Rattus norvegicus: one gene and its partners. The protein of the gene in region 1 interacts with the protein of each later gene in a pairwise test. Links are inferred from orthologs where the notes say so. Each region holds a gene or a part of one and is shown in the gene's direction. Other genes may lie near its edges. The genes, in order: Rabac1, Ric8a, Dusp12, Spg21, Syt16, Ndrg4 and Zfyve21.

Region 1 (4,232 bases):
CCTTTCCCAATTGCCCCAGACACCAAACGTAAAATCCCCTGTATTCAAGGCTCCTGCATTCTCCCAATTAGCTTGCCACTTTCTGCAACATACCTCTGCCTTCTCCGGAAACCCTGCCTCCCACATGGCTGCTCTCCATCTTTGCTGTGTTTGAGGAGCAGAGACTTGAGAGTTATGAAATAGAAAGACTTTTGCGTAGTCCTCAAAAAGAAACTGAAATGATTTCCACAACTGTCAAACCCAGCTGACCTTTGCCACCAAATGGTTCCCAAGGCTGGCCTTGTGGTGTCCCTCATTAGTCTTTAGGCTAACTGTACACTATATGGTCGTCCACTGACCTTCTGAAGCAATGCTGGACCTCAAGTGGGAAACCCAAACACAATTTCCTGCTGAGTGGCCCAGACTGGAACCCCAACTGCTCATGATTGCCCTGTAACACCAGTTCCAGGAGATCTAAAACCTGTTCTGGTGGCGCACACACATAAACATATAAAAGTAAATCTTTTCTTTTAAAATAAAAACACTTATTTTGATATTTAGTATATGAGTACACTGTAGCTGTCTTCAGACACACCAGAAGAGGGCATTGGATCCCATTACAGATGGTTGTGAGCCACCATGTGGTTGCTGGGATTTGAACTCAGGACCTCTGGAAGAGCAGTCAGTGCTTTTAACCACTGAGCCATCTCTCCAGCCCCCGAAACACTTATTTTTAAATAATGTGTATCTGAGTGTGGACATGTACACATGAGTATATCTGATCCGCTAGAGCTGGGGTTACAGGCAGTTGTGAACCACTGGGTGTGGGTGCTGGGAACCAAGCTATGATCCTTTGAAAGAGAAACAAGTAAGCTCTCTCCAGCCCCACTTCCAAAGTAAGTACTTTTCCTTTTTTTTTTTTAAGATTTTTTTTAAAGATTTTTTATTTATTGTATATGAGTACACTGTAGCTTGCTTCAGGCACACCAGAAGAGGGCATCAGATCTCATTACAGATGGCTGTGAGCCACCATGTGGTTGCTGGCATTTGAATTCAGGAAGAGCAATCGGTGCTCTTAACCACTGAGCCATCCCTCCAGCCCCAGTACTTTTCTTTTAAGGAAAGAAAAGGTAAATGAACTCTTTCCCAGGCTTGCCCAAACAGAATCAGCTTTCTGGAGTCAGAACGACAGCTCTGCATGGTCCACGGAAGCATGTAGATCGCCTGTTTTCGCCTGTTTTTGCTATTCCAACTCCTATCAAATCCTCTGTCCTGACAGCCCACCTGCTGTATTCCACTCTGCGCCTCTTGAAACTACAATTCCCACAATGCCTAGTGGCTCCCGAGCTCTTAGCATACATCTCCCAAGATGTCTTGCGAGGCAAACCTGCCTCTTGACGCCACGAGGACTACAACACCCACAATGCTCCGAGGCACAACTACCGCCCCCTAGAGCTCCCAGCGGCGCCACTTCCATTGAGTCCGGCTCGGGTGGGGCCGCCTAGGTGCTGCTGGGCTCGGGGATATTTACAGCGGTTCTATTCACTGCAGCGCAGACATGGCGGCCCAGAAGGACCAGCAGAAGGATGCCGAAGTGGAAGGGCTGAGCGCCACGTGAGCAAGCAGGGTGTTACCCCCAGATCCGAGACGCAGAAGTCCCTGCCCCCGCAAGCATAGATCTCTCCCCTTCAGAGACATCTCAGCCCCTCACCCCCTGGGAGGGACTCAGTTGTGTTACCTTCCTCCTAGGACCCTTCCCCCCCCCAGGGTTCAAGGTCAACCTTGGGACCATGTATGCTAGAATCTGGGGTCCGGTACCCTATTCCTGCCTTCATCTTCTCTGCCCCGTCCTTTAGGACCCTGCTACCCAAGCTGATTCCCTCTGGCGCAGGTCGAGAGTGGCTGGAGCGGCGCCGTGCTACCATCCGGCCCTGGGGCACCTTCGTGGACCAGCAACGTTTCTCGCGACCCCGCAACGTAGGCGAGCTTTGCCAGCGCCTGGTTCGCAACGTGGAGTATTATCAAAGCAACTACGTGTTTGTGTTTCTGGGCCTCATCCTGTACTGCGTGTGAGTGCCTCCGCGGCCCCGCCCTCGATAGTCCGGCCCCGCCCCCGGCTGCCAGGCCCCGCCCAGACCAGTTAGCACCTTTGTCACCACAAGACCTGGTCAGTCTGTACTCTTGCATCCACTTGACCAGGGTGCAGTGTGACCTTCGCTGACCTAGAAGGACGTAACTTCTGTTTGTCCAAAGCTACAGGGACCTGGCTGATGCAGCCTCGGATACCTAACTCCTGTCTCCCACACTCTTCCAGGGTGACATCCCCCATGCTGCTGGTGGCTCTGGCTGTCTTCTTTGGCGCCTGTTACATTCTCTATCTGCGCACGTTGCAGTCTAAGCTTGTGCTCTTTGGTGAGAAATCCCCTGCCCAAATGGCTTCCCAAGCCTTTCTGATCGTGGTCTCACGGAATGCAAACCTCCGAATATTTGGGACTCAAGTCGGCCCCTACCGAGATGCACACTAGAGTCATTTAACCTGGTCCTTAAGGGCTTAGACCTACCAGGTGCTCCCCTCCAGTCTCAGCTTCTCAAACCCAGAGAGACCCCAAAGCCCCTGGCACCTCTGTCTCAGGTAAATGACTTAATCCAGTTCCTCCCAAACCCCGACGTAAAACATCAGCTGCAGATACCCATACTGGACACCAGATGGCGACCTTATGCAGGCTTAGATCCGTGTTCCTTCCCAAACCTTCGGATTCTCAGAGGGGAAAGGCCCCACTGGGAAGAAAGGTGTCAAGGAAGACTCTCTGAGGAGAAATCCAAGGGTTTCCAAGGAGACTTAAAACAAGTCTTTCGGGGGTTGGGGATTTAGCTCAGTGGTAGAGCGCTTGCCTAGGAAGCGCAAGGCCCTGGGTTCAGTCCCCAGCTCCGAAAAAAAAGAACCAAAAAAAAAAAAAAAAAACCAAGTCTTTCGTGACCCAGCAAGTTTAAGTACCAGACAAAGATGGGCTGTGGCAAAGGAATACTGGAACTTGGCTTCTGCAGATAGTGGTCACTAGGGTGCACACGTTTCTCAGGCATAGGAGAGCCTGGCCAGGGGGTGGGGGGGTGGGAGGGGAAGCATATATATTCTATATATATTGAGAGCAGGGAATGCGTCTCGTTCCAATTATGTCGTCTCCCAGGAACTCACTAGGCTGGCCTCCAATTCACAGATTCCCCCCACCTCTGTGTCCAGAGTACTAGGGTTGAAGAAGAGGGCCAGCATGTCCTAGCCTTAAAAAATGTGTGGGCTGGGGATTTAGCTCAGTGGTAGAGCACTTGCCTAGCAAGCACAAGGCCCTGGGTTCGGTCCCCAGCTCCGAAAAAAAGAAAAAAAAATGTGTAATGCAGGAGCCCCTCTGGAAGACAAGTGCTTTTAACTGCTGGGTCACCTTCTCCAACCCTCACAAACCAAATTCTTGTGAAGCTCATCAGAGAACACATCCCCAAAACAGAAGCTGGCCTGTGCCTGGAATTCCAGCACTTGTGAAGCTGAAGCAGGAGAATTGCTCCAAGTTCAAAATAAGCCTGGGCTTCAGAATCTTTAAAAAAAAATAATAATCAGACTAAGTGTCTAGAGAGATGGCCCAGTGGTTAGAATTGAATACTGTTCTTGCAAAGGATGTGGGTTTGGTTCCTAGCGCCCAAGTCAGGTGGGTGCACCATAGCCACCTCCTCGGGCACCTGAACTCTCGTGTACATATGCCCACGCAGGGCATATACACATAGTTCAAAATAATAAATCTTTAAAAAGTAAAAAAAAAAAAAAAAAAAAAAAAAAGGACAAAAATGCTCAGGTCAGATTTGGCTCGGAGCCACCTGGTAACCAGACTGGAACATCAGGCCCTAGACTGAGGTGGCCTGGGGCTCCTGGGGAAGGTGGAGCAGGGGCGGAGCTGAGGAAGGTCGTTATGGGGACAGGTCACTTTGGGGAGGTGGGGTAGGGCCAGGGGTGGGAGGCCCTGATGTGAGGAGTCTGTATTATTACATGGAAGGTTCCAGAGTCACACTAGATGGGTGCAAAGTGGCTCTGGTTACCTCTGGGAACGGCTGGCTGTCTTACACCATCTGTCCCCAGGCCGTGAGGTGAGCCCAGCACATCAGTACGCCCTGGCTGGTGGTGTCTCTTTCCCTTTCTTCTGGCTGGCCGGTGCTGGCTCCGCTGTCTTCTGGGTCCTGGGTGAGTACAGGGTCTGTGTAGGGAGAGGCTG
Region 2 (3,807 bases), about 120 Mb from region 1:
ACAGCTGAAAGCCCTAGATTGAGATTCACTCCATCTGAGGAGCCATGTTGCTAAGCTTAGTGAGTTCGATCAGCTGCCTGCTCCTCTTGCTGCAGCTGCTGGCATTAGGCAGAGAAGGGATAGGTGCACTGTTTGCTGTCCGGGAGGCACTTTGAATAGGAAATCTGCTATTTGTTGTTTCCTGAGGGCAGGGTGTACCTCAGGTGTGCGGACAGCTTCAAATTCCGTTTGTTTTGTTCCTGGCCCTGGTTCATACTTGTAACAGTTGGTTTTGAAGAAGCAAGTTGTTGGCCCCCAAGTCACAAAGTTTCAGTCACTTCCAGAAGTAGGTCTGGTTTCCATCACTCTCTCTTCTTAGACCCCGTGCAGGCAAGGGTGAACTTGAACTTCTGATTTTTCCTGTCTCCCAAGTGCTGGAGTTACAGGCTGGTACCCCCATGACTGGCTTAATGTTTCCATACCTTCTTAAACTAATAAACGCCCAGCACTGTCTTTGGCCCTTAGCTAACTTTCTACAGCATGGCCTCTTTATAAGCGATTGTCAGAACCTCTGGTGAAGGGTGCAGTGTAGCCCCATCTCGCCTGGGGAGCATATGACAGTAACAGAAGCCCTTCTGCAGACCCACAGGCTGAAGGAGTGTGTGGCACCGGTGCTGAGCGTGTTGACAGAATGTGCCCGCATGCACCGTCCTGCCAGGAAGTTCCTGAAGGCCCAGGTACTTGAAAAATGAGACGGATCTGGGGGACCTGGGGATCCTTTATATAGGGCTCTGGCTGCTCCAAGCCAACACTTAGAGACAGCTGCCTCCCTAGGTCCTGCCCCCTCTGAGGGATGTGAGGACTCGGCCTGAGGTGGGGGACCTGCTCCGAAACAAGCTTGTCCGCCTCATGACACACCTGGATACAGATGTGAAGAGAGTAGCTGCTGAGTTCCTCTTTGTCTTATGCTCTGAGAGTGGTGAGTTGGGGGAGCCCAAGCCCCAGGCCTCCCCTGCCACAGCCATATTCACACATTGACCTCTGCCCTGGTCTTCAGTGCCCCGATTCATCAAGTACACAGGCTACGGGAATGCTGCTGGCCTCCTGGCTGCCAGGGGCCTCATGGCTGGGGGCCGGCCCGAGGGCCAGTACTCAGAGGATGAGGACACCGACACAGAGGAGTACAGGGAAGCTAAGGCCAGGTATGTGCTCCTAGTGTACACTTGGGTTCCCTCGTAACCCCCATCCCCCTATCTGCCCCTCCTCAACCACAGCCAGTAGTACGTAGGACAGGATAAGGAATGGATAAAAACTTGGGTTCTACTGAACTGAGAACAGGACCCCCGTTGAAGGAATCAGAGAAAGAACTGGAAAGCTTAAAGGGGCTCGAGACCCCATATGTACAACAATGCCAAGCAACCAGAGCTTCCAGGGACTAAGCCACTACCTAAAGACTATACATGGACTGACCCTGGACTCTGACCTCAGAGGTAGCAGTGAATATCCTAGTAAGAGCACCAGTGGAAGGGGAAGCCCTGGGTCCTGCTAAGACTGAACCCCCAGTGAACTAGATTGTTGGGGGGAGGGTGGCAATGGGGGGAGGATGGGGAGGGGAACACCCATAAAGTAGGGGAGGGGGGAGGAGGATGTTTGCCCGGAAACCGGGAAAGGGAATAACACTCGAAATGTATATAAGAAATACTCAATAAAAAAAAACAAAAAACAAAAAACAAAAAAAACTTGGGTTCTGATGACAAGTCATGTACTGAGGCCCAGTGAGTGAGCTCTCTGGGATCCAGTAGGTCTTGGGCAAGAGTTGTCTGCCTGGTGTTCAAGGGGGATCTCCCTTCTGAAGTCCCATCACCACCAAAACCAAAACCATGAAGGTGGGTTCTTGCTAACCCAGCCCTAGGCATGAAGATGGAGACTTGCTGCCCCACTGAGCACTGCTTTTCCTATAGCAGCACTAACCCATTTCTCATACACTGTTCCTGGGAATTAGCATCAACCCTGTGACTGGAAGGGTAGAGGAGAAGCCGCCTAATCCTATGGAAGGCATGACAGAGGAGCAGAAGGAACATGAGGCCATGAAGCTAGTGAACATGTTTGACAAGCTCTCCAGGTATGTTATGAGGAAGGCTTGTAGCTAGAAGACATGGGAATGATTCTGTTTTGTGAGCCCAAGGAGAATGGCTTAGAGATTCAGATCCTAGTGAGGCTGTATTGGGCATTTGAGATAACTTGCCCCAGAGGTAACCTTCTGGCAAAGAGAGAGGAGGGTACAGTCAGCATTGAGCCCTCTTTTTTAGAGGATGAAAATGAGGACAAGAATGTGAAGGACTGGCTAATGTCTCCAAGTTAATTAGGTGGTGGTTAGGATCCAGGCCTAGTTAATAGTTAACGCAGTCCAAGCAGCAGCCAAGAAATGAGCAAGAGCCCCTGCCCTGCACACTAGGTCCCTCCCCAACCACACTGTGTTTTCCCTGCAGGCACAGACTCATCCAACCCATGGGGATGAGTCCCAGGGGTCACCTCACTTCTCTGCAAGATGCGATGTGTGAAACTATGGAGGGACAGCTCTCCTCAGACCCCGACTCAGACCCCGACTGAAGATGGCAGCCACTTTGCTCCCCTTCAGAACTGGTGCTGTTTCCAGACATGCCTGGGGTGCTGCCTCGAGAAGCCACACCCCTCTCCAGCTGGGGAGCCGTTCTCTCTACTCCTCACATATCTGTCATCTGCCTTTGGTCCAGTTTCTTGTGTTTAGGACTGTGGTAGTCTTATCCTCTGTGAAGACAGGGAACCCACCTTTCATTTCCACAAGTGAAGTTGTTTCTTGGATGTGGCTGCAGCCATGGGCAGAGTTGCCTTGGCACATAAATGAGCGTGCATGTGTGAGGGCGGTAGCTGAGCAGGGTGCACACGGTGTAAGCATGGCTGGGCTGGTACCAGCCCAGAGCCCGTATGTGGGGCATATGCTGTGTTTCAAACATTCTAGAATCTGTTGAAATTGTTTAAGTATGTCAGAAAACACACCAAGCATCATGGTTTCTGCTTCTGGCCCCACTGAGCACAGGGTCAGTGGCCTCTTCTAAATTCTTGGTCCTGGCTCAGCCACCCACTGCAGTATCCACATACCCAAGCCTCACTGGTTGTGACCACTAAGTCAGTGACAACCACTGGTTTAGTAATTAGATGAAGGCAAAAGTTGTAAGACAAGGTAAAAATCTGAGATTTCTGAGGCACAGAATAAAGAGTTTGGGACAAGACTGTATATCTGTGAAGTAGCCGGGTGAAAGAATATTAAATAGAAACTGATTTCATTCTATTTAACATTCAAGATTTCCTAGACCACTACACATCTGCTTTCATTGAAGATCAAGGATAGAAGGCAAGACCCCAATCCCTGGAATCTTGCTGGGTCAGCTACATACTGTCAGCCGCAGTCAAAATGGGCTGTGACAGTAATGGGGTGCTTCTACCTGCAAACAGCCTAAACTTTCTGAGTAGGAGTCAGGGAGGAAGCAGCCTGTGCTTAGTCATAACCACATACAGGACGGGAAAACAGGAGCCCAGTGGGGTTTCCCAGAGTAATGCCTGCCGTTGGCTTTAGCATCGTTACTGGAAGAAGTCTGGGTGGAGTAGTGGGAAGTGCCTTAGAGAGGGGATTTAGCTCAGTGGTAGAGCGCTTGCCTAGCAAGCGCAAGGCCCTGGGTTCAGTCCTCAGCTCCGGGGGAGGGGGCCTGGGCAGATGGGGATTCTAAAGGACGGGGTATTTTTGAGGGAATGTATGAGAGGGGCCTGAGTTAACACCAGGGTAAGCCAAGG
Region 3 (4,300 bases), on another chromosome or scaffold:
GTGACGCACTTCCTCCAACAAGGCCACAGCTCCTAATAGTGTCACTTCCCATGGGCTAAGCATATTCAAACCAGTACAGCGATCTAGGATCATGGTTCTTGGTACCCAAGCAAAGTTCAGTATGGGTTCTATCTCGTGTAGTGGGTTTTAAATCAGATCAGATACTGGCTGGTTCCTGCCACCATTGCACTAGCGTATCTTGCAGGCAGGACACCATTGTAGATCAAAGGGTTTGAGGCTGGGCTGGTGTTCAGATTTCTCCTTTGGTAGCGTGTGGAGTACCTTCCTGCACCAAAGACACTCGTATATGTGGGTGAAGGCTCTCTGAAGGAAGAAGTTCAGCTTCTCCATGTCTAGTGAGTTATGTAGGTGTTGTCTTCAGGATTGGGGTCTTGCCATCAGTTGGTGGAGAGCAGCCTAAGGTCTTGGCAACAGTTTGAGTGGGTTTGGGGTGGGGGTGAGGGTGGGTTCCATGAGACTCCATTGACCAACAACTCAATTAGATGTCGACCAATCCTGACACTGGAAGCTTCATTTGGTGACAAGAGATGTCCAGTTGGAGAGTCTGTCTCCCCCATTATTTGGACATTTCATTTAGATTGCCTTCATATATGTTTATTTTAGGAAGCTCTACCATATTAGGTTTTCATGCCCCCCCCCTTAATTTTAGCTGTCTGTCCCTGCTTTTCTCTTCCCTTTCCCATTGGATCCTTCTGTTCTAGCCGCCCCTCAATCCAGCATAACTATCTATTATTCTATTTACCTTTCCTAGGGAGATCTATCTTTCCTCCCTGGTCTGTACTTAAGCTCTGTACTTAAGCTCTGAGGTTCTATATATTGCAGCTTGGTTATCATTGACCTAACAGCTAATATCCACATATAAACTTATACATACCAGATTTGTCTTTCTGGGTCCTCACTCAGAGTGATTTTTTTCCCCCTAGCTTTATCCATTTACCTGTGAATTTCTTCTTCTTCTTCTTCTTCTTCTTCTTCTTCTTCTTCTTCTTCTTCTTCTTCTTCTTCTTCTTCTTCTTCTTCTTCTTTTTTTTAATGGTTGAGTAACACCTTATGGTGTAAAACGCACCACATTTTCTTTATCCAATCTTCTGTTGTGACACATCTAGGTTTCCGATTTCTGATTAGGAAGCATCAATGGACAACATGGTTGGGCAAGTGTCTATCTTGAGGTAGATTCCCATCCTCCTGAGGAACTTCCGAGCTGATTTCCATAGTGACTGTACAAGTTTGCGAACCCACCAGTAATGGATGAATGGAGACTTCATTTTCTGCCTTGGACTTTAGAGGCTTGGGTGGAAAGGCTGCTCTAAAAGGAGCTTACTTAGCACACAGTCCCAGCAAGCCTCACATCACCTTCCCCAGAATCAGTCATTTTCCCTATTGCCGTGGTCCTCCCATGGCGCTACCGAGCGGCTGGAGTTAGTCCGACACCGGAGCTGGTTACTCTAGCCGGTGACTTGGTGGCGGGCAGAGGCTGCTTGGCTTCCTGGCGCCGCCATGTTGGAAGTACAGAGCTCTAACCATGGCTGCGAGCGTCAGGCTCCGACTACCAGCCCCGCCAGCTCGGCAGGGCACGCGGTGGAAGTGCGGCCCGGGCTGTATCTGGGTGGGGCGGCGGCAGTGGCTGGACCGGACTACCTGAGGGAGGCGGGCATCACCGCCGTGCTGACGGTGGACTCGGAACCGGCTTTCCCGGCCGGGGCTGGTTTCGAAGGTCTCCAGAGCCTCTTCGTGCCCGCGCTGGACAAACCCGAGACCGACCTGCTCAGTCACTTGGATCGGTGCGTGGCTTTCATCGGCCAGGCTCGCTCCGAAGGCCGTGCGGTGTTGGTGCACTGGTGAGTGCCCCAGGCTGGGGGGCGGTGCCTTACCCCGTGTCTAGCCTCTCTGCTGAGGCGCCCAGAAGTGGAGGGCGGTGCTGTCATAGCCCAAACCCTCTTTCCTCATCTTCCCTTGGGGTTTGTGGCTCAAGGGAGAGTTCGTAAACCCGCCCTTGGTTAAGGTTTTGTTTGATTTCATTTTCCAGCAACCATTGTCTGTGCATCCATCCTTCCATCCGTCCATCGGTCTATCTGCCTATCTGTGTTTTTGGAGTTTGGGGTTCACCAGATTAGTTCATTAATCACTAACCATTACAATTATTTCATCAAGTTTAGCAGCTTTGTAAGAGAAGTCAGAATCATTCTGGTGAATGGAGTACAGGGGTGAAAGTACGTGATACTTTTCTTCCTCGTCCTAAAGCTCACTAAACAAGAGAAAAACATGGGGCTTTTTGTTTTTTGAGGCAAGGTCTAACTGTACAGATCTGGCAGGCCCGGAACTCGCTATATCGAGCAGGTTGGCTTCAAAAAGCACAGATATCCTCCTGCCTCTGCGTCCACAGTGCTGCACACCTTTAGTGAGCCACCATGCTCGGGCAGTTTTAATCAAAGATTTACGTGACTCGCAGGTTTAGAGAAGCATGCACGGACCAAAGGAAAACCGTTCGTTCACATTCTGGGACTAATTAAGACTGGACAGTCGTATAGAAAAGGGATTGGACAAGAGGAGTGTGACATAATGCTATGGAAATGAGCCAGGAAACTCAGCCTGTCCTGAATTGATCGTCCTCGGGTGTATAGGCAAAGCCCTTTCTGGAATTGTGGTCTTAGGATGTATCGGACTAAATCGATCGGAGAATTAATTTGTCCTGCTTATAGCACGTTAGGCAAACATGCTGCTACTATGATGACACAGCCCCGATCTTAAGAAAATGCCTTTGGGGCAGGTTCTTGGAAAGGTGGAGGAAAGTTAGAGTGATGTTTCTCTCCATATTTTTGTTGTTTTGTTTTTGGGATGGAAGTTTTGCTGTGCGGTCTAGACAGTCCTTGAACTTGGGACCCTCCCGCATCCACCCCCAGTGCTGGTATTCTTTTTTTGTTTTTTGTTTTTTGTTTTTGGAGCTGGGGACCGAACCCAGGGCCTTGCGCTTCCTAGGCAAGCGCTCTACCACTGAGCTAAATCCCCAACCCCAGTGCTGGTATTCTATGCATGTGCTACTTACTGCTTTGACTTTAATTCTGGTTTTTGTGCTTAGAGTTGAAGAAGAGTGCTTCTAGCCTCTCCTTCAAGGTTCGTCAGAACATCAAGTGTCCAACACAGTCGAGTATGAGAGTCAGAGGTGCAGGGCTTCGCCCCAAGAAGCCCAGGTACCTGAAGTTGGGTCTGGGGTACAGACCTGAGTGAGGATCACTACAACCCTGTGTTCGACTATTGATTGACGCCCTGTGTGGCCAACTGTGTTCATTGCCCCTGAGTCCCACCAGAGGGCGCACGATGGCCAAACTGCTGCCTGCACCCATCTCTTCCACAAGGTGGAAGGAGCCAATGCAAATAAAGTTATTAAGTACTGGTGTGGGGGAAAAAAAGAAGGAAAATCTTAGTAGGTGTTTGGGGATCCCAGGGTAGTCCTGTTGGGGTCCGTCTGAACTGCTTCGTTGGACACTTCCTGTGTACCAGTAGTTGTAAAGATTTACACAAGGACAGAAGGTAGTGATGAGAAGTATGGAATCAGATCTGGAACAACTTGAAGTCAAGAGCCGAGGCGCCATGGCAACAGTTAAAACATTGAAGGCAGGCATTGTAGAATAGTTAATGCATCCACACTGTTCGGAATTAAGAAGGAATAAGGAAATAATCGATTCATGTTGTGCGTTGACAGTATTTAAGGGGCAGTGGGTTAATTTGAATGGAAATAGGAATGAGCTGGGTACAGGGCGCCGCACCTGGAATTCCAGCACCGAGGAGGCTGAGGCGGGAGATCGTCCTGACTCAGAAAGGAGTGAGGTGGACCGAAACGTTACCACTAACAGTCGCTGGGCTTTGTCTTTTAGTTTATTTGTTGGTTGATTGATTGAGACAGGGTTTCTCTGCGTAGCCCTGGCCATCCTGGACTCAACTCTGTAAACCAGGCTGGCCTTGAACTCACAGAGATCTGCCTGCCTCCGCCTCCCGAGTGCTGGGATTAGAGGCGTGTGCCACCGTGCCCAGCCTGGCTTGCTTTTTAACTGCTGCTATCTGCTATTTTATTTCGAAGGTCTCTTTTTCAGTCATGCAGGAGTCAGCCGCAGTGTTGCTGTAGTGACGGCTTTCATAATGAAGACCGAACAGCTTACCTTTGAAAAAGCCTATGAAAACCTCCAGACCATCAAGCCAGAGGCTAAGTGAGTCCTTTGGAGTCCCAGTCCCACGCGTGTGTTCGTGCGTGCGTGCGTGCGTGCGTGCGTGCGTGTGTTATTTT
Region 4 (4,172 bases), on another chromosome or scaffold:
TCACTATTTGAGATCCTTCTGCCCTACCTTTTTGAGGGCTGAGACATCACTATGCTTTGGGCAAAATGTGTCTGGTATTTGTTTAAGTTCTAGACTGGAACCTAAGGCTCCTGATCCATAGATCAGTGGTTTTGATTTTTGAGTCGCTGTTGTTTTTGTTTGTGTTCTCTAGGACTGGAGAGATGGTTTGGTGGTTAACAAACTTACTGCTCTTCCAGAGGACCAAAGTTGAGTTCTCAGGATGCAAGCCAGCTCATTACATTTGCAGTTTCAACTCCAGGGGATCCAAAACTGACCTCAGCAGGCACCAATGCACACACACAGACACAGACACACACACAGACACACACACACACACATACGGGTGGGGGATGATTAAAATCTAGGGGATGATTAAAATTCAGGTCAGAGATTAAGAGTACATACTGCTTTTGCATCCATGTTGGGCAGCTCACAAATGCTTGTAACACCAGCTCTAGGGGATCCACTTCCCTTGTCTGCCCTCCTTATACTCATGTGCACCACATACACTCCCACAAACACATACAATTAAAAGTAATACTGATAAAAATATATTTTTAAAGTTCTCCCTAAAACATTAGCATCTTGCTCTAGGAGGCTTACAATTTTTCAAACAAGATTTACAGGCCACTTAATATTATTATATGTTATTTCAGAGCAAAACTGTTAACAATTACTGAAAGGTGTTGTGGCATCTGCCACCTCTCTCCTAAGAATAGTGATTAGACTATGCCTGATGAAAGAGGGCAAGCCAGTGCTGAGCATGTCCCCTCAACATCAGCACAAAGTCACAAAAGGAAACAGGGCTTCAGAAGGAGGTCAGAGGAGGGTGACTGTACAAAAAAACATTTTGCTGAGAAAGCATTTGCAGTTGGGGAGCTGAGGGGAAACGGGGAATGGGAGGCAGAGATTAACAGAGGGTAATGATCAAAATGCTTTATATAGGTATCAAAATATCCTAATTAAGCCATTGTAATGAACTAATATATACTAATTTTAAAAAAAGACTATGTCAAGGCCCATTCACCAAAGCTGTGGCCCAAAGGTGTCTCCCACCTCCCAAAAGCATAAAGACGCCTAAAAACTAAAGGCAGAAGCAGATCCCCATGGTCTACAGCCCCGACTTTCACTACCATGGCTTCCTCCTCGGTGCTTCTATCAGAAGTGACCTAGGACTGACCCTTATTCACAGCCTCCGCAGCCCTCTAGTACACTGCAAGAAGTCTCCGAACCACCGGGCCTCCCCAGCCATCCCCGTCGCCATAGTAACCGTCAGAGCCCCGCCCCTTCCTCGCCATCTGGTCCCGCCTCCTCGGAACCCGGAAGCGGGAGGCGCGCCTGGGGAGCTGCCGGTTCTAGACTTGGGAGGCGGCGGCCTCTGGCTGCTCGGCCGCGCGCCCCCTCTGCCCGCTGCTCCCAAGGGGCCTCTGCTCTGCAGCCGCCCGTCCCACCCACGCCCCCCCCCCCGACTACATCCGCTGCGCCCAAATAGGGGCGAAGAGCCGTCTAGGCTGGAAAGAAAGGGACGCGGGAGCGGCCACGGCAGGTGAGGGGCAGGCCCTGGAAAGCAGGACTGTGGGTGTGTGGTCTGTGTAGGGTTGTAGGTGGGCGTGTATGGAGCATGCGTGACTTATGAGCAGAGTTCACGAGTGGGCCGGTCCTTGTGACCATGCACGTGATCCATATCTCTGTGTGTGCGTGTGCGCCTGTGTGTCCAGCCTTCTGTTCATTGCAGATGTTTGGTGTGCTTGAACTAGTGGAACCAGGGCGGCCCCTATAGCGATTGGAGCACAAAATCCTTAGTCAGACATCCTCATTTTCTTGAGCCACCTATCCTGCGGCTGCGGGGCAGAAACTCAGGAACATTTTGGTTTCAGTTTTTTTTTCTTTTTTTCGGAGCTGGGGACTGAACCCAAGGCCTTGCGCTTTCTAGGCAAGCGCTCTACCACTGAGCTAAATCCCCACCCCCTTGGTTTCAGTCAACTTTTAAGGGGCTGCGAGTAGAGTTGTTTTGGAGATCCTACCTCAGACTAGGTGTGAGGCCTGTTAGTGAGTCATGAAGAATGTAGCTGGGAGAGCGAATGACCCTTTTTTCTTCTTTTCCCAGGGAGTTAGAAATTAGGTGCTGATGACGTTGCTTTGTCTCCATCTGCAGTGGTCCAGCTTCTCTTTTTTGCAAGGATTCTGCAAATCGGGAAGTCGTCTAATAGTGATGTATGAATTTTCAAAAAGCTTTTACACCAGGACCTTGAAACGAGGTGTCAGAGAGAAAGTTGCCATGCAGGCAGCTTCTCCTCTCCTGACATTTAGAGAGAAGTGGATAGGTTCCTGGAGAAATCTTCGAAAGATAGCTATTTAATACATACAGGTGTGGTGAAGCGTGAAGATCTGTAGTAAAGGGCCTGCTGCAGGGCCTTAGCTGTAGGTCAGTGGTAAAAGCTCATGGTGAGCATTCTCCAACACAGAATCATAGCTGGGTCACCTAGAGACTCTCAAGTTCTAATACTTTTTTATTGGTTGTATTAACAATCACAGATTGTCCCTATACAAGCCAACTATACATTGAGAGGACCAGCAATATGTGACTGACCATGTGTTAAACATTTGTAAAGATAATTTCCTCAACTATAAACTGCAGGTTCTGTTGAAACTCTGAAGGACAAGTACATGCTCACAACTAGCAAATTTATTGTCCAGCAACACAAGGTCCAGAAAGAACTGAGTGTCCTTAGCCTAGGTGGAGGGTTTTCCTTGATTAAAGGGTGTTGCAGGCTCTTTCCTCACTAGCCTGAACAGGTGCTTTTGTTTTTGTAAAGAACAGAGTCACGAGAAATCAAATCTGCCCTGAACTCCCTGCCTATGTTTCTTTTTTGATCCTGACCAGTTTGATCTCAATCTCAGCTAACTTTCTGGGCCACAGACTTTTTAGAATGTTTCTCTTGTGACTTGGGAAAGCATCCGGCTTAAGTGGATGAAAGAGAGCTAGAACAAACTTTCCTTTTCATACCCTTCACAGCTGCTTTAGCTTTGCGGCGGGGGAATGTTTTTCTTCATAGCCATCAGCTGGTCCTACGCAACATTTGGTAACTGTCTCGCCTTTCCTCAGCACCAAACTAGCACAAGTGTTAGACCCACCTGTCCTTGCAAAAGTGTCCTCACAGCTGTGCAGAATCTCTTATCTATGGAGCTTAGTTACAATGTGTTCAGTACTGAGGTGCTTGTGAATTATACTGAAGACTTGGTAAGGACTACCCTTCTGCTGCTGTGGGAAAGAAGTGGGTAACTCCTTTGTTTGCCTGCCTGTGTGTTTGTACTGTAGTTTGGTTTTGAGTGGCAGCTGATTCCAAAACTATGAATGATTTTTAAGTTGTTTGATCCTAGAGGTAAACTTTAACAAATTGATTGATGTTTTAGTTTTGTGTGTTTTGTGTGTGCTGTATAGCTCTGGCTGACCTGGGACTCACTATGTAGACCAGGATGGCCTTGAACTCACAGAGAGCTAGCTGTCAGCCTCTGAAGGCTAGGATTAAAGATATGTATCCCCACACCCAGCTGTTTAGCCTGTATTTGATATTCCCTCTTGCAGACATTCTAGAAAATGTTTCCAGTTGGAACTGTACAGATGCTGTGGTGGTATTTCAAGTCTGTCCTAATATAAAATATTCTAGGATTAACTGTATGTTCTGGCAGTGGCTTTCATTCTAAAGTAATAACTTAAGGGAGACAGGAGAGTTAAAGTAACTAAAATGTATTACATAAATGTATGAAGCTATCATATAAAGCAATTTTAAATAGTGAAAGATGTGTTAAGAGAAATAGTTTAGATGGCTTAGATATTTTTAAACATGTTAATATTTTAGATAAAATAGATAAAGGATTGTGTTCTTTGTTTTAGTGTTCACAATCACATCTGTGCACACTGGTTTCAGCATAAGATTGGTGGTGATTTTCTTGATGTTTTAAAACAATTTACAATTTTAACAACGCTCTCTTAAAGCATCTCCTTTGCTTTGAGCTAAGAGACCGGTATCCTATCAGTACTGTAGTTAGAGTTTAATGTTAGACTGCCTCCGTGTGCTTGAAGTTCAGTTTAGTGATGCTTAAAGGCAGCAGCCCAGTGTTGGGTCCCTGAAGGAGGACCAATGAATTAG
Region 5 (4,273 bases), on another chromosome or scaffold:
CAAGTGCTATACAGTGATACATGAATTATTCCGTTCAAGAGGAAAATGCAGAAAGCCCAGTTCCTCCTTAGCTGAAATGCAAGTTCCATAGGACAGAGGCCTCAGGGTTACCTTTTTCCTGGCATTCTGCCCAGTACTTAATAGGTGCTTGGTCAGTATTTGTTATTTGTTTACTGAATGAATCAAGGCACCTATGAATCACTAACGAGAAACTTTTAAGGGAAATTAAGCAGTTGTACTAAAGGCTAAGATCAAGAGGCTTGAAGCTTCAGGAATGGAGTGATTCAGAGGGGGGGATGTTGTTATCATAGAAGCAACTGATAGCATTTATCCTTCACTGGGATAGCAATGGGATTACCTATATCCATGTATAGATGTAAATCTGCCCAGGCTTGCGTTTGCACATGAGTGTACAAATATAGGCACAGTCCCTTTGATCATCACCGTGCCCTGCTGTTTTATGGGTGTCCCCAAGCTACTCCTTTCAGACTCTGATCTTACGGTACGTTTGAGAAGACATGCAGGTTACAGAGGGCCAACTTCAGGAGATGGGGACACAGACAAAGGCAGAAGACGCTAAGGAAGCTGCATGATCCATTTGCCATGCACACATATTCAGTACGATTTCTCCCCAAGAATAGACACCATTTCTAGAGATTGCCTAAAACTGTAAAACTCTATTTTTAAGATTTGTTGGAAGCGTTGAAATTCCAGACACATATTTCCTTTGAGAGGATAAACCTTTGTGTCTCAAAACAGAGATGCCTGTTCGTTAGCTCTCTGGGGTCTGCATGTTTGTGCACGAAACCTCCGGTTTTTCTTGCATTTTGAAGTGTCATGCCTAACTGGCTGTTCCCACAGATTCCTTTACTCTTCTCACATTGTTAAACTGGTCTATGGGGAGCGACTTCTTCCAGTCCACATGACTAGAATCTGTTGTTGCAATAGAAGTTGGGCGTGAGTGTGAGGAGGTGTACAATCGTGGGTAGAACCCACATTTAGATGTTCAAGGTCATTTTATTTAGCCATCATGAGAGTTCAGTATAATCTTTCTCTGTCCCCCAAATGCTGCTTGATATTGACTACAGGTATCTGGTGATGGGTCCACAGTGTGACTTTAACAGGTGTGAGCATGTCTCTCCTCTGTTTCAGCTGAGACGTGTTGAGAGTGAAATGGTCACAGCCACTAAGAGACCACCACCCTATCAAACACAGTTGCTCTGTTCCCTGCAAAGACCTACTCCATAGACCTTGGTGCAAGAACCAGCATGCTGCCTGGTTTTACTTACTGCCAACGGTGCTTACGTACTGCACATGTTTTCTTTATGTGTACATTAATAAAGTTTTGCCTGTTATAAAAAAAAACAGAGACCTCCAGTTAAATTTCTCCTTATGCTCATGCTATATTTCACGTACGTTCAGAGTTCTGGAGGAACCAAACAAGCAGACTCTGGAGACACGAGGTAGTTGGTCATGGTGTTGGTCATGGCATCTCAAGATGTCCAGAACTTCTTCCAACCTTTGTCCTCCTGGCTCTCCCGAGTTTATGAAGCTCTCCAGCAAGCCGGGGATGCCTTATCTGCTTCACTGGTTCTTCTTAGCAAACACGATTCGGCACTGAGTGATAAGCCAGAGCAGGACTTAGATGCTATTCAGATTCAGGAAACCTGCTTGGAAGATGGAGAACAGGACAACGATGGGGGTCCAGAGGAGACAGGCTCCCTGTTTCTTGAAGAGGACCATTTCTCAAGCTCTAATAGTGATTTGCGGGACTCTGTCCAGACGGCAAGCCTCAGACTTGGTCAGCAAGCCAAAGACTCAAGCACTGTAATTTCCCAGTGGCCCAATAAGATCCCAGGTGGCCCAAAGCCCCCACATGTGCTTTCTTCTATCGCTGAGGAGGAACATCACTCTGAGGGGCAGAGATGTGACCTTCAGCATGGCTCTGACACCCAGCTTCCCGGCTCTTTAGAAAAAGTTAACGGAAGAAAGCAAGGTAAGCTGGTCAGTACCATTGTTCCTATGCTCCTCTAGATGCCTTGTAGGGTTCCTCTCTGGTTTAAGTATTGATTTTAAGCATTGGTTTTACCCTTTCTTTGCTAATTACACATCCCCTCGTTCTGGCTTCTGATTGAGAGATACAATTCATAGGAATATTTTTGTTCTGTGAAGCTTTACAAGATCCATGTTTTGGGCTCCATCTTTCAAAATAATAGTTCTGAGCAAGTGAAAAAGCTTAAAATGAATCCGAGGGTTCTGTTTGAGAAGTCCCTGCGCGCATGCCACAGTTTTTAAAATATCTTTAAAAATGTTCTCCCCCCCAACCCCCTCCCTCTAGGTTAGGAATTTCTAGATGTTACTATATTATTCAGCATGAAATCCTGTGCAAACAGCCATACTTGTTTCAGAATTTGTAGTTGATAACACTCCAAGAATACTTCTCACAGCGTCTGACTAGGACGGGGTGTGCGATGCCAGTAGATGGGAGATCTTTGAAATAGGACGCTTTCATTTGCTTTTAGCCTGGAATGATAAGGACATAGTTAATAAGAGTCGCCTATGATAGATACTTTGTTGTCAGAACTGAGCACAGAGCAGGGCTTTAATAAAAGTGTCGGGGTTGGGGATTTAGCTCAGTGGTAGAGCGCTTGCCTAGCAAGCGCAAGGCCCTGGGTTTGGTCCCCAGCTCCGAAAAAAAAGAAAAAAAAGTGTCATGGATATAATACAAATGTAATCATTTCTGGGAAAGATACTGGCATGTGTTTCGGCATACATTTCCCATGGCTGCAATCTTCTAGCACGTAGAGTGGTCCCAGAGACAGAGGTGAATGGTAGACTGAGGTGAGGGGTTAGGGGATGTGTGTGTGTGTGTGTGTGTGTGTGTGTGTGTGTGTGTGTGTGTGTGATGTGTGTACTCACATAGTCCATATATAGATTATTCATACACAGACAAAGTCATTAAGTCCTTTCTTGTTGGAGGGAGCCAACATTTCTAGGATACCATACTGTCTCTTTATTTTCAATGATTCTTCCTAGTGTCGCCTTTTAGATAAAGGTCTTACCAGACACATGGGATCTTGGTGGATAAGGAAATAAAATATTTTATTCTTTACAGCACCTTTTCCTCTCTCTGCATGAGCATGACACTGAGCTGGACTTCCTCAATTGCCCGTCATGTTTTTTGAAACAGAGTCTCTCATTGAACCTGGAGCTTCTCTATTTGGCTAGACTAGCTTAATCAGCAAATCCTGTCACTGCCAGTCCCAATACTAGGGTTATAAATGCACACCTAACCCAGCTTTTTACGTGGGTTCTGTGAGCCTAGACTCAGGTCATTATTATGCTTCTATAACAAGCAATTTAAAGGCTAAGTCCTGCAGCACCCCATACAATGCTTTCTTAACTCTTACGGAATGAAATCCTGGAATGAGTTGGTGAAGTCAGGCAGGCTAATATTCTTTTTGAAGCAATAATTTCAAACGACTACTGTTTTGAGTCTTCTAAAATTATTTGTAATATAGTTGGTAGAATTTTAGATTCAAATTGAAATTTCATTCTGATTTTAAAGAATTCTTGCCTAATTTGAACTGTGTTTGAAATTTACATAGATTTGCCTTAGTAGATGTCAGGCAGTGATTTATTGGGGGGGGTTAATTTTCATAACCATAAAATATGAATGCAAACATTACTTGGGCCCAACCTTCAAGTCAGATGACAGAGGCTGTGGTGTTGCTCTCCAGCTGTGCCTGCCATGGTGAGTGCCACCTTAGCGGTGATGTGGTAGGACTTGGCACAAAGAGAAGGAGTTCTTCTGAAGGAGCCTCTCTTAGTATTGTCACAGCGCATTGCTTATACTCCACCGTTGGGAAGACACAGAGTTTAGGTGTTCTGATCTTAGAACACAGTTCTTATTCTGATTACAAACATGATTTCCACAAGATGAAATTACCTTAGCCTTTCTACTACTGTTTTGTTACCGTTTAGAGTTTCTTATAACCACTGCCTCAAAGAAGGTACAGAACAGTTTTATTATCTCAAAGAATTCCTGGACTTCTTTCTGTAGGCAATCCTCACATCTGTCTACCTCCACACTCTAGTGAACACCAGCTGATACGTTTTTATGAATCATTATATATGCATGTATATAGTCCACACACATTAGTAGATTATTCATACCCAGACAAAGTCATTAATTCCTTTCTTGTTGAAGGGACCCCCAACATTTCTAGGATACCATATTGATACCAAAAGATACCAAGTAGAGTACATTGTA
Region 6 (2,502 bases), on another chromosome or scaffold:
TCAGGGTGCCTAACGGGCACCTGCCCTGCTCTGGTCATGGCTTTGGGTAGCTGCTGGGACCTAGGATCCTGCTGGCTGACCCTGCATGCCTTGGCCTAGTATAGCCAGTGCCAGCACCCTGGCTTGGGATGGGCCTCTGTATGTGGCAAGATTGGGTCTCACTGGCCGCTCTGCTTGTGTTGTCTTTTTCCCACCTGCCGGTACCCCACCCTGCCTGTCCTCAGGACCCTCTGTCTCTGTCCACAGTGCCCTCAGCCAGCATGACCCGCCTTGCGCGCTCTCGTACCGCGTCCCTCACCAGCGCCAGTTCTGTGGATGGTAGCCGCCCTCAGCCCTGCACCCACTCAGACAGCAGTGAGGGGATGGGCCAGGTCAACCACACCATGGAGGTGTCCTGCTGAAGTCCTCGTCCTGCCCAAGACACCCGCTTACCTGCCCCCAGGTCCCACTGCCATCTTCGCACCGGCTCATCTTCCCTCTGGTTTATTTTTGTGAGAGTGAAGGGGAGGAAATGGGGTTACTTCTCTTTTACTTAAAACGAAGGGATCCACCTTAGGACGGCGCAGAACAACAGTCTTAGAGGATGTGAAGGGCTCACCTTATACACTCGCATCTCACCGGCCACTGGTTGATACGGCCCCCTTCGTCTGCCCGTCTGGGGTGTGGCCAGGATGTAGGACATAGTACGAAAGAAAGCACAGCCCACCCCCTGGAGCTGGCAGATAGGGAGTTTGAAGATGGCAGGTGCTGAGCCAAGGCTCTGTTGTGAGTGGGAGTCAGACCAGTGGGGAGCCGTCCCTTTTCTGTAACCCTTGTACCAAGCACACCTAACAGTAGAGGTGACAGTCATGAGGACAGTAGCCACAAGAGAGCGCTCTGAGCAGTCAGCCATTTTCCTGGTGCTCTCTGGGCAGGACATGATAGAAGGCTAGCCAGGCTGAAGACAGAATATGGAGAACCCTGACATGGGGGCAGGAACCCCATACTCTGCCACCACAGGGCCATGTCCCACCCTGAGGCAAAGGTCACCTGGTCTCTCTTGTCCCCGTTGGTAGAGGTGAAATGTTGATGGCTTTGTATGCTGTGTACAGCCCCTGAGAACTTCATGGTTGCCCCTTTGGGAGCTGGCAGGTACTGTAGGTCCCTCCTATCCCAGGTTTCAAACAGCGAGTGTTTGTCACAGTGCCCTGGTCGACCTGGGCCGGCGTGTCACAGACATTATTACTTGAGAAGTGAGCATTAGGAAGATACAAGACAGAAAGATACAATGACCTCTGCTTGCTGAAGGGGCTGGAAATGGCCTGCTCCTTGTGTGGGAGATGGGTTATTCTCCAGATGAACAAAGGCTCCGTACCTCCTACAGCCCGCAACTATGTCTGCCACCTGACCATGTAGACTCTCACAGCCCAGAGCTATTGTGTCAGCCATCCCCAGAGAAGAGAGAGAGCACTTAAGTGTGAATATGGGGTGGGCGTGATGTATGTGGTGTTGTGTGGGTGTTCTGAGGCAGGAGGACACCTACATCCGTGTGTCTGTGGCATATGCCACCCCTTCTTTCTGTAACTGTAAGCCATTTCCAGACTGCTCTGAAGTCCAGTGGAGTGTATCCTATCCCTGGTTCTGTTCACTCACGTGCTTCCGTGAATACCGAGTGTGACTGTTTAAAGCTGGCAGAATTAATCCCTTACTGTAGATAGCACTTCAAGTATTGGACATCTTTTTGCTGTGTTCTTAAGATATCTATAAATACCTATACATTATATATATATGTATGTATATCGGGTCCTTCTGTATGTGGTTTCCCATTGATGGTTGTCTTCTCTTTGGTCAGGATGAACTTTTAATGGAGTTCATTACTTCCCTCTCTGTACAAAGTTAAGAGCCTAATTTTGTGTATTCTGGTGGCTGATAAGAGACTTTGAGATTACAAAATGCAAAACAAAAATCCTTATTGATATAGAAAGATATCTGTGCAGAAAAACTAATAAAGAAATTAAGCGTATGTGTGCCGTGCTTTCTATCACAGGGGAGGTTGCCTTAGATTCAGACAGGTGGAGGATAGTAAACATCTGTGTGTACCTCTACACCGTCAGTGCCTGGTCTGCACGTTTGTGGTGGGGGAGGGCTGAGTAGCCTCATTCTGTAGACAAAGCTGGTCTTGAATACTCAGCAGTTCTACTTCAGCGTCCTGGGTCCTTTGTTTTTTGTTTTTTTTCCTTTTGGGGTGATAGAGATTGAATCAGGGCGTTCACACACAATGGGCAAGGTTCTACCAAGTATATGGCACAGGCTATATACTCTGAGATATAGTTTTATCAATCATGACACTAACTCTTTTACAGCTGGGCAGAAAGCTTAGCCAGTGAGACCTCTTCAAAGCAAGGGCACGCCCCTTTTCGTTTGCTTGTCTTTAGTTGCTTTGAGACATGGTCTCACTCCGTAGCCTAGGCTTTCAAGGAACTCCCCATAATTTCCCTGTTTCTGGCTCCCAAGTACTGGAAT
Region 7 (3,295 bases), on another chromosome or scaffold:
CACGTGTGGTTTGGTTTTGTCTTCCAAGGAGCTACCTTCCTTGTTACTTTTGGGGACTCAGAGAAGCCTGAGACCATGGTTTGTCGTCTTTCCAACAACCAGAGGTAAGTGGACGTCCCCCAGCACTGGCCAGTGTTGTCGTAGCTTTAGGCCTCAGCCTTAGGACTTTTCTTTTGTTACAGATGCTTGATTCTGGATGGAGACAGCCATCATGAAATTGAGATTGCACATGTGTGTACTGTCCAGATTCTCACAGAAGGCTTCACTCCTGGAGGTACATGCCTTTCCTGAGCAGGAGGGGTCTAGTACCTATGTGGGCAACAGGAGGTACTGTATTTGGTCCCAGATGGCCCGCCATACTCTTCATTGGGGCTTTTGTTAAGTCAGTAACTGTAGAACCCACCAGGTAAGTGGAGAGGAGATACGAGGGGAGATTTGCCTGTTGTCCATTTCCTCTGACTTGGGTATTTACTTACTGACAGACAGCGCTCCAAATGCGCGGTCTGAAGTTCCAGAGGCGTGTGGTGGTGGCTGATTTGGAGCCCTGCTTGCAGACTTGCTGTTTGCCTCCCCTGCAGGCGTCTGTGCAGCCAAGATCCTTGATCAGCTCCGTGGTGAGCTCAGTGGTCTTACCTCAGCCTGACTTCATCGGCTGAACTGCGCGTCGCACATTCTAAACTTGCAGATCTGACCTAATGCACCTTGCTTTCCATTTTCTGACTGACTCTTGGTTGTTTCTTCTTTGCACTGCCTGCCTACCTTCTTCAAGTAGAAAAAGACATTCACACTTACAGCAGCCTCCTGGGGAGCCTGCCTGCCTCTGAAGGTTAGCCTCCATCCTGCCTGGGTCACTCCTCCCAGCATGCTGTGGTGTCTGCTCCCCTCTGCTTCTATCTCTTGGGGTAGTTCTGAAACTTCAGGTCACTTTTGATTAGGAGAGACACTAGGTCCAGTCTAAGAGCCTATGCAGAGTAAGTCAGTGTCCTGAGAGAACAAAGTAAGCTTGCTCAGCTCTTTCCCAGGGAGAAGGCGTGCAGGAGTGACAGCTTCTGTCAGTGTCGGCCAAGTGTATGGTTCTCCTTTGCTGGTTGGGCAGCAGCGTTCATCACTGAACCCAGTAGCTTACCGCCCGCAGACACTGTCCTCCAGGGGTCCCTGACTGTCGGCTCCTCCATCGCAGTCTCTAGAGGGGCCCAGCTAAGGAATGCAGCACGGAGCTGCACGAGGTGCATGGAGCATTGAGCATAGATACCCTAGTGCCAGAGACCCAGCTCCCCAACCTCTTCTAGGTCAGCCCCGCCCCCGAGAGTGTAAAGGTCAGGGCATCTGCAAGTGTGTGTGCCATGCGCATGCCTGGTGCCTTCCGCGATCGGAACAGTGCGTTAGATGCCCTGGAACCAGAGTAGGTTGGGAACTGAACCTACGTAAAAGCAGTAGGTGCTCTTAACTACAGAATCATCTCCCTGGTTCCCGTGGGGGTGGTAAAATTTTGATGGTAAAAAGCCCCAAACAGCCACAGCCAACAGCGGCCATGACCACGTTCGGCCCGTTTTTATTTACAGAAGCTGGTGGTGCATGGCTTAGATAGGAATTGTGCAATGGCTTGGATGAGGCAGTGCAGCCAGAGGCCTTCAGGGGGATTCTGAAGTTTCTGATTAGAGTTGAGTTCAGAAAGTCTCTCTCTGGGTAAACCCACCCCCACCGCCAGCCCCAGCCAGAGGTTTTGCAGGCAAGGAAGTCAGGCCTCTTTCTGGCTGTGGTCTGCATGCTTAGTCCACTGGCCAATGGGGCTCAGACTGCTTTGATTTTAGAATTAATGTCTGAATAAAGGTAGGTTATTTCCTAAAACATTTCCCTTCTGGTCACCATGAGGTTAATGATCATGTGAGGCTGCAGTGGCCCTGATAGGCCTGATCTCCCAAGTGGTTTGTTCCTGAAGCAGACCCTAAATTAAAGAGCAGCTGGTCACAGCCCAGAGATGGAGCTGACTTGGCCTCTTGCTGCATCCATGGGATGCCCAAAGTAGGGAAGAATGGTGCTTGGCAGGGTAGTGTGGCTTCACGCCTGTGTCAGCATCTGCTTAGCTGTCAGCGGAGCCAGACCGGATGTAACGATCTGCTTGGCTTATCTGGTAGCCAGGCCGTCCCTAAAGCAGTTTCTGTGCTTCCACTGCTCTGCTGTAGCTTGTGTGTGTGTGTGTGTGTGTGTGTGTCTGTCTGTCTGTCTGCCTGTGTGCTGTTTCTCTGAGGTAGGAAGGAGCATGGCTGGCAGTTTCTGGACTGTTGGGGAGGAGGACCATGTTACCATCCTATTCTCGGTGATAGGTACTGTTAGTTTATCCTGGCTGAGGGGATCCCTTTCCCTTCTCTGCACACGGGGTCTCTGCATGTTTCTAACAAAGGCTGCTTTCTGAGCAGCACACAGGGCAGACACCTCCTCTCCCCTCCAGCAGGCAGCACTCGAGCCACAGGCATGTTCCTGCAGTACACAGTGCCAGGGGCAGAGGCTGCAGCACAGCTGAGGCTGATGGCTGGAGAAGACGCAAGCGGCAGCAAGAGGCAGGCGGCAGCATGGCTGGCAGCCATGCACAAGGTATGGTAGAGCTGGGGAGGCTGAGCTCATAGACAAGTGTGTTTTTACCAAAAGACTGCCACATATCTGGGGTGCCCCACTTGATTACAAGGTGCACAGGCCAATCGTGCTTTATTATGGTGTTCCACAGGCTACCAAGCTCCTCTATGAATCACGAGACCAGTAAGTACACGGGAACTGAGCTCGGGCACATCGGGTTACAGAGCCCACGCAGCTGGCCCTGCCTGTGCACTCGGGGTTCTGCCCTGTGTGTACTTGGAAATGCAGTTCACGTGTCTGGAAGCAGAGTGTTCACTCGCCTAGTGTGTACACCGCTGATTAATGCTTTAAAGAGCTTCTGTCGCAGTGCATCATGGGTACTTCAGTAGGGTTGGGAGAAGCTGCAGGACAGCACTGCTAGACCAGGTTTAGTGTAACCACGTTTCTGTACATTTCCAGGTTCCTTAGAGATTTTTGGCCCTGTTCCCACAGAAACAGATTGGGTGGTGATCACTCAGGCCCTGGTTTAGCACTGGGCACTTCCGTTCTCAATAGCCCATTCACAATGCCTTAGCCTGTTTCTAGACTCTGTTCACTCTGTCACTAACCGGGGCCATGGACAGTCCCTTTGCTGTGTCTCTAAGGAAGGCATCAGAGTTTCGTGTTTTCTACCTTGACTTACTATTCACTTTATTAAAATGACTGTACAGTAATTTGTATATAA

Evidence for each region.
Region 2: the proteins of Rabac1 (region 1) and Ric8a interact in binary tests that used the Homo sapiens proteins (3 or more experiments, as listed by UniProt). The link is inferred for Rattus norvegicus from reciprocal best matches to the Homo sapiens genes RABAC1 and RIC8A.
Region 3: the proteins of Rabac1 (region 1) and Dusp12 interact in binary tests that used the Homo sapiens proteins (3 or more experiments, as listed by UniProt). The two-hybrid records come from large-scale screens. The link is inferred for Rattus norvegicus from reciprocal best matches to the Homo sapiens genes RABAC1 and DUSP12.
Region 4: the proteins of Rabac1 (region 1) and Spg21 interact in binary tests that used the Homo sapiens proteins (3 or more experiments, as listed by UniProt). The two-hybrid records come from large-scale screens. The link is inferred for Rattus norvegicus from reciprocal best matches to the Homo sapiens genes RABAC1 and SPG21.
Region 5: the proteins of Rabac1 (region 1) and Syt16 interact in binary tests that used the Homo sapiens proteins (3 or more experiments, as listed by UniProt). The link is inferred for Rattus norvegicus from reciprocal best matches to the Homo sapiens genes RABAC1 and SYT16.
Region 6: the proteins of Rabac1 (region 1) and Ndrg4 interact in binary tests that used the Homo sapiens proteins (3 or more experiments, as listed by UniProt). The two-hybrid records come from large-scale screens. The link is inferred for Rattus norvegicus from reciprocal best matches to the Homo sapiens genes RABAC1 and NDRG4.
Region 7: the proteins of Rabac1 (region 1) and Zfyve21 interact in binary tests that used the Homo sapiens proteins (3 or more experiments, as listed by UniProt). The two-hybrid records come from large-scale screens. The link is inferred for Rattus norvegicus from reciprocal best matches to the Homo sapiens genes RABAC1 and ZFYVE21.

The regions. Positions count from the first base shown.
Region 1 is NC_086019.1:89,692,218-89,696,449, reverse strand, and holds the start of Rabac1 (prenylated Rab acceptor protein 1), read left to right. Parts: upstream 1-1,432; 5' UTR 1,433-1,537; coding exon 1,538-1,593; intron 1,594-1,835; coding exon 1,836-2,048; intron 2,049-2,293; coding exon 2,294-2,391; intron 2,392-4,099; coding exon 4,100-4,201; intron 4,202-4,232. UniProt on the Homo sapiens protein: General Rab protein regulator required for vesicle formation from the Golgi complex. May control vesicle docking and fusion by mediating the action of Rab GTPases to the SNARE complexes.
Region 2 is NC_086019.1:205,367,796-205,371,602, forward strand, and holds the end of Ric8a (synembryn-A), read left to right. Parts: intron 1-620; coding exon 621-716; intron 717-813; coding exon 814-958; intron 959-1,036; coding exon 1,037-1,181; intron 1,182-1,981; coding exon 1,982-2,101; intron 2,102-2,468; coding exon 2,469-2,589; 3' UTR 2,590-3,307; downstream 3,308-3,807.
Region 3 is NC_086031.1:85,661,208-85,665,507, reverse strand, and holds the start of Dusp12 (dual specificity protein phosphatase 12), read left to right. Parts: upstream 1-1,500; 5' UTR 1,501-1,518; coding exon 1,519-1,859; intron 1,860-4,109; coding exon 4,110-4,223; intron 4,224-4,300. UniProt on the Homo sapiens protein: Dual specificity phosphatase; can dephosphorylate both phosphotyrosine and phosphoserine or phosphothreonine residues. Can dephosphorylate glucokinase (in vitro).
Region 4 is NC_086026.1:74,874,764-74,878,935, forward strand, and holds the start of Spg21 (maspardin), read left to right. Parts: upstream 1-1,372; 5' UTR 1,373-1,567; intron 1,568-2,133; exon of another isoform or gene 2,134-2,235; intron 2,236-3,141; exon of another isoform or gene 3,142-3,262; intron 3,263-4,172. UniProt on the Homo sapiens protein: May play a role as a negative regulatory factor in CD4-dependent T-cell activation.
Region 5 is NC_086024.1:98,616,694-98,620,966, forward strand, and holds the start of Syt16 (synaptotagmin-16), read left to right. Parts: upstream 1-1,473; coding exon 1,474-1,996; intron 1,997-4,273. UniProt on the Homo sapiens protein: May be involved in the trafficking and exocytosis of secretory vesicles in non-neuronal tissues. Is Ca(2+)-independent.
Region 6 is NC_086037.1:9,356,970-9,359,471, reverse strand, and holds the end of Ndrg4 (protein NDRG4 isoform 1 precursor), read left to right. Parts: intron 1-224; coding exon of another isoform or gene 225-246; coding exon 247-401; 3' UTR 402-2,002; downstream 2,003-2,502. UniProt on the Homo sapiens protein: Contributes to the maintenance of intracerebral BDNF levels within the normal range, which is necessary for the preservation of spatial learning and the resistance to neuronal cell death caused by ischemic stress.
Region 7 is NC_086024.1:136,708,446-136,711,740, forward strand, and holds the end of Zfyve21 (zinc finger FYVE domain-containing protein 21), read left to right. Parts: intron 1-28; coding exon 29-104; intron 105-182; coding exon 183-274; intron 275-769; coding exon of another isoform or gene 770-826; intron 827-2,449; coding exon 2,450-2,592; intron 2,593-2,722; coding exon 2,723-2,758; 3' UTR 2,759-2,795; downstream 2,796-3,295. UniProt on the Homo sapiens protein: Plays a role in cell adhesion, and thereby in cell motility which requires repeated formation and disassembly of focal adhesions.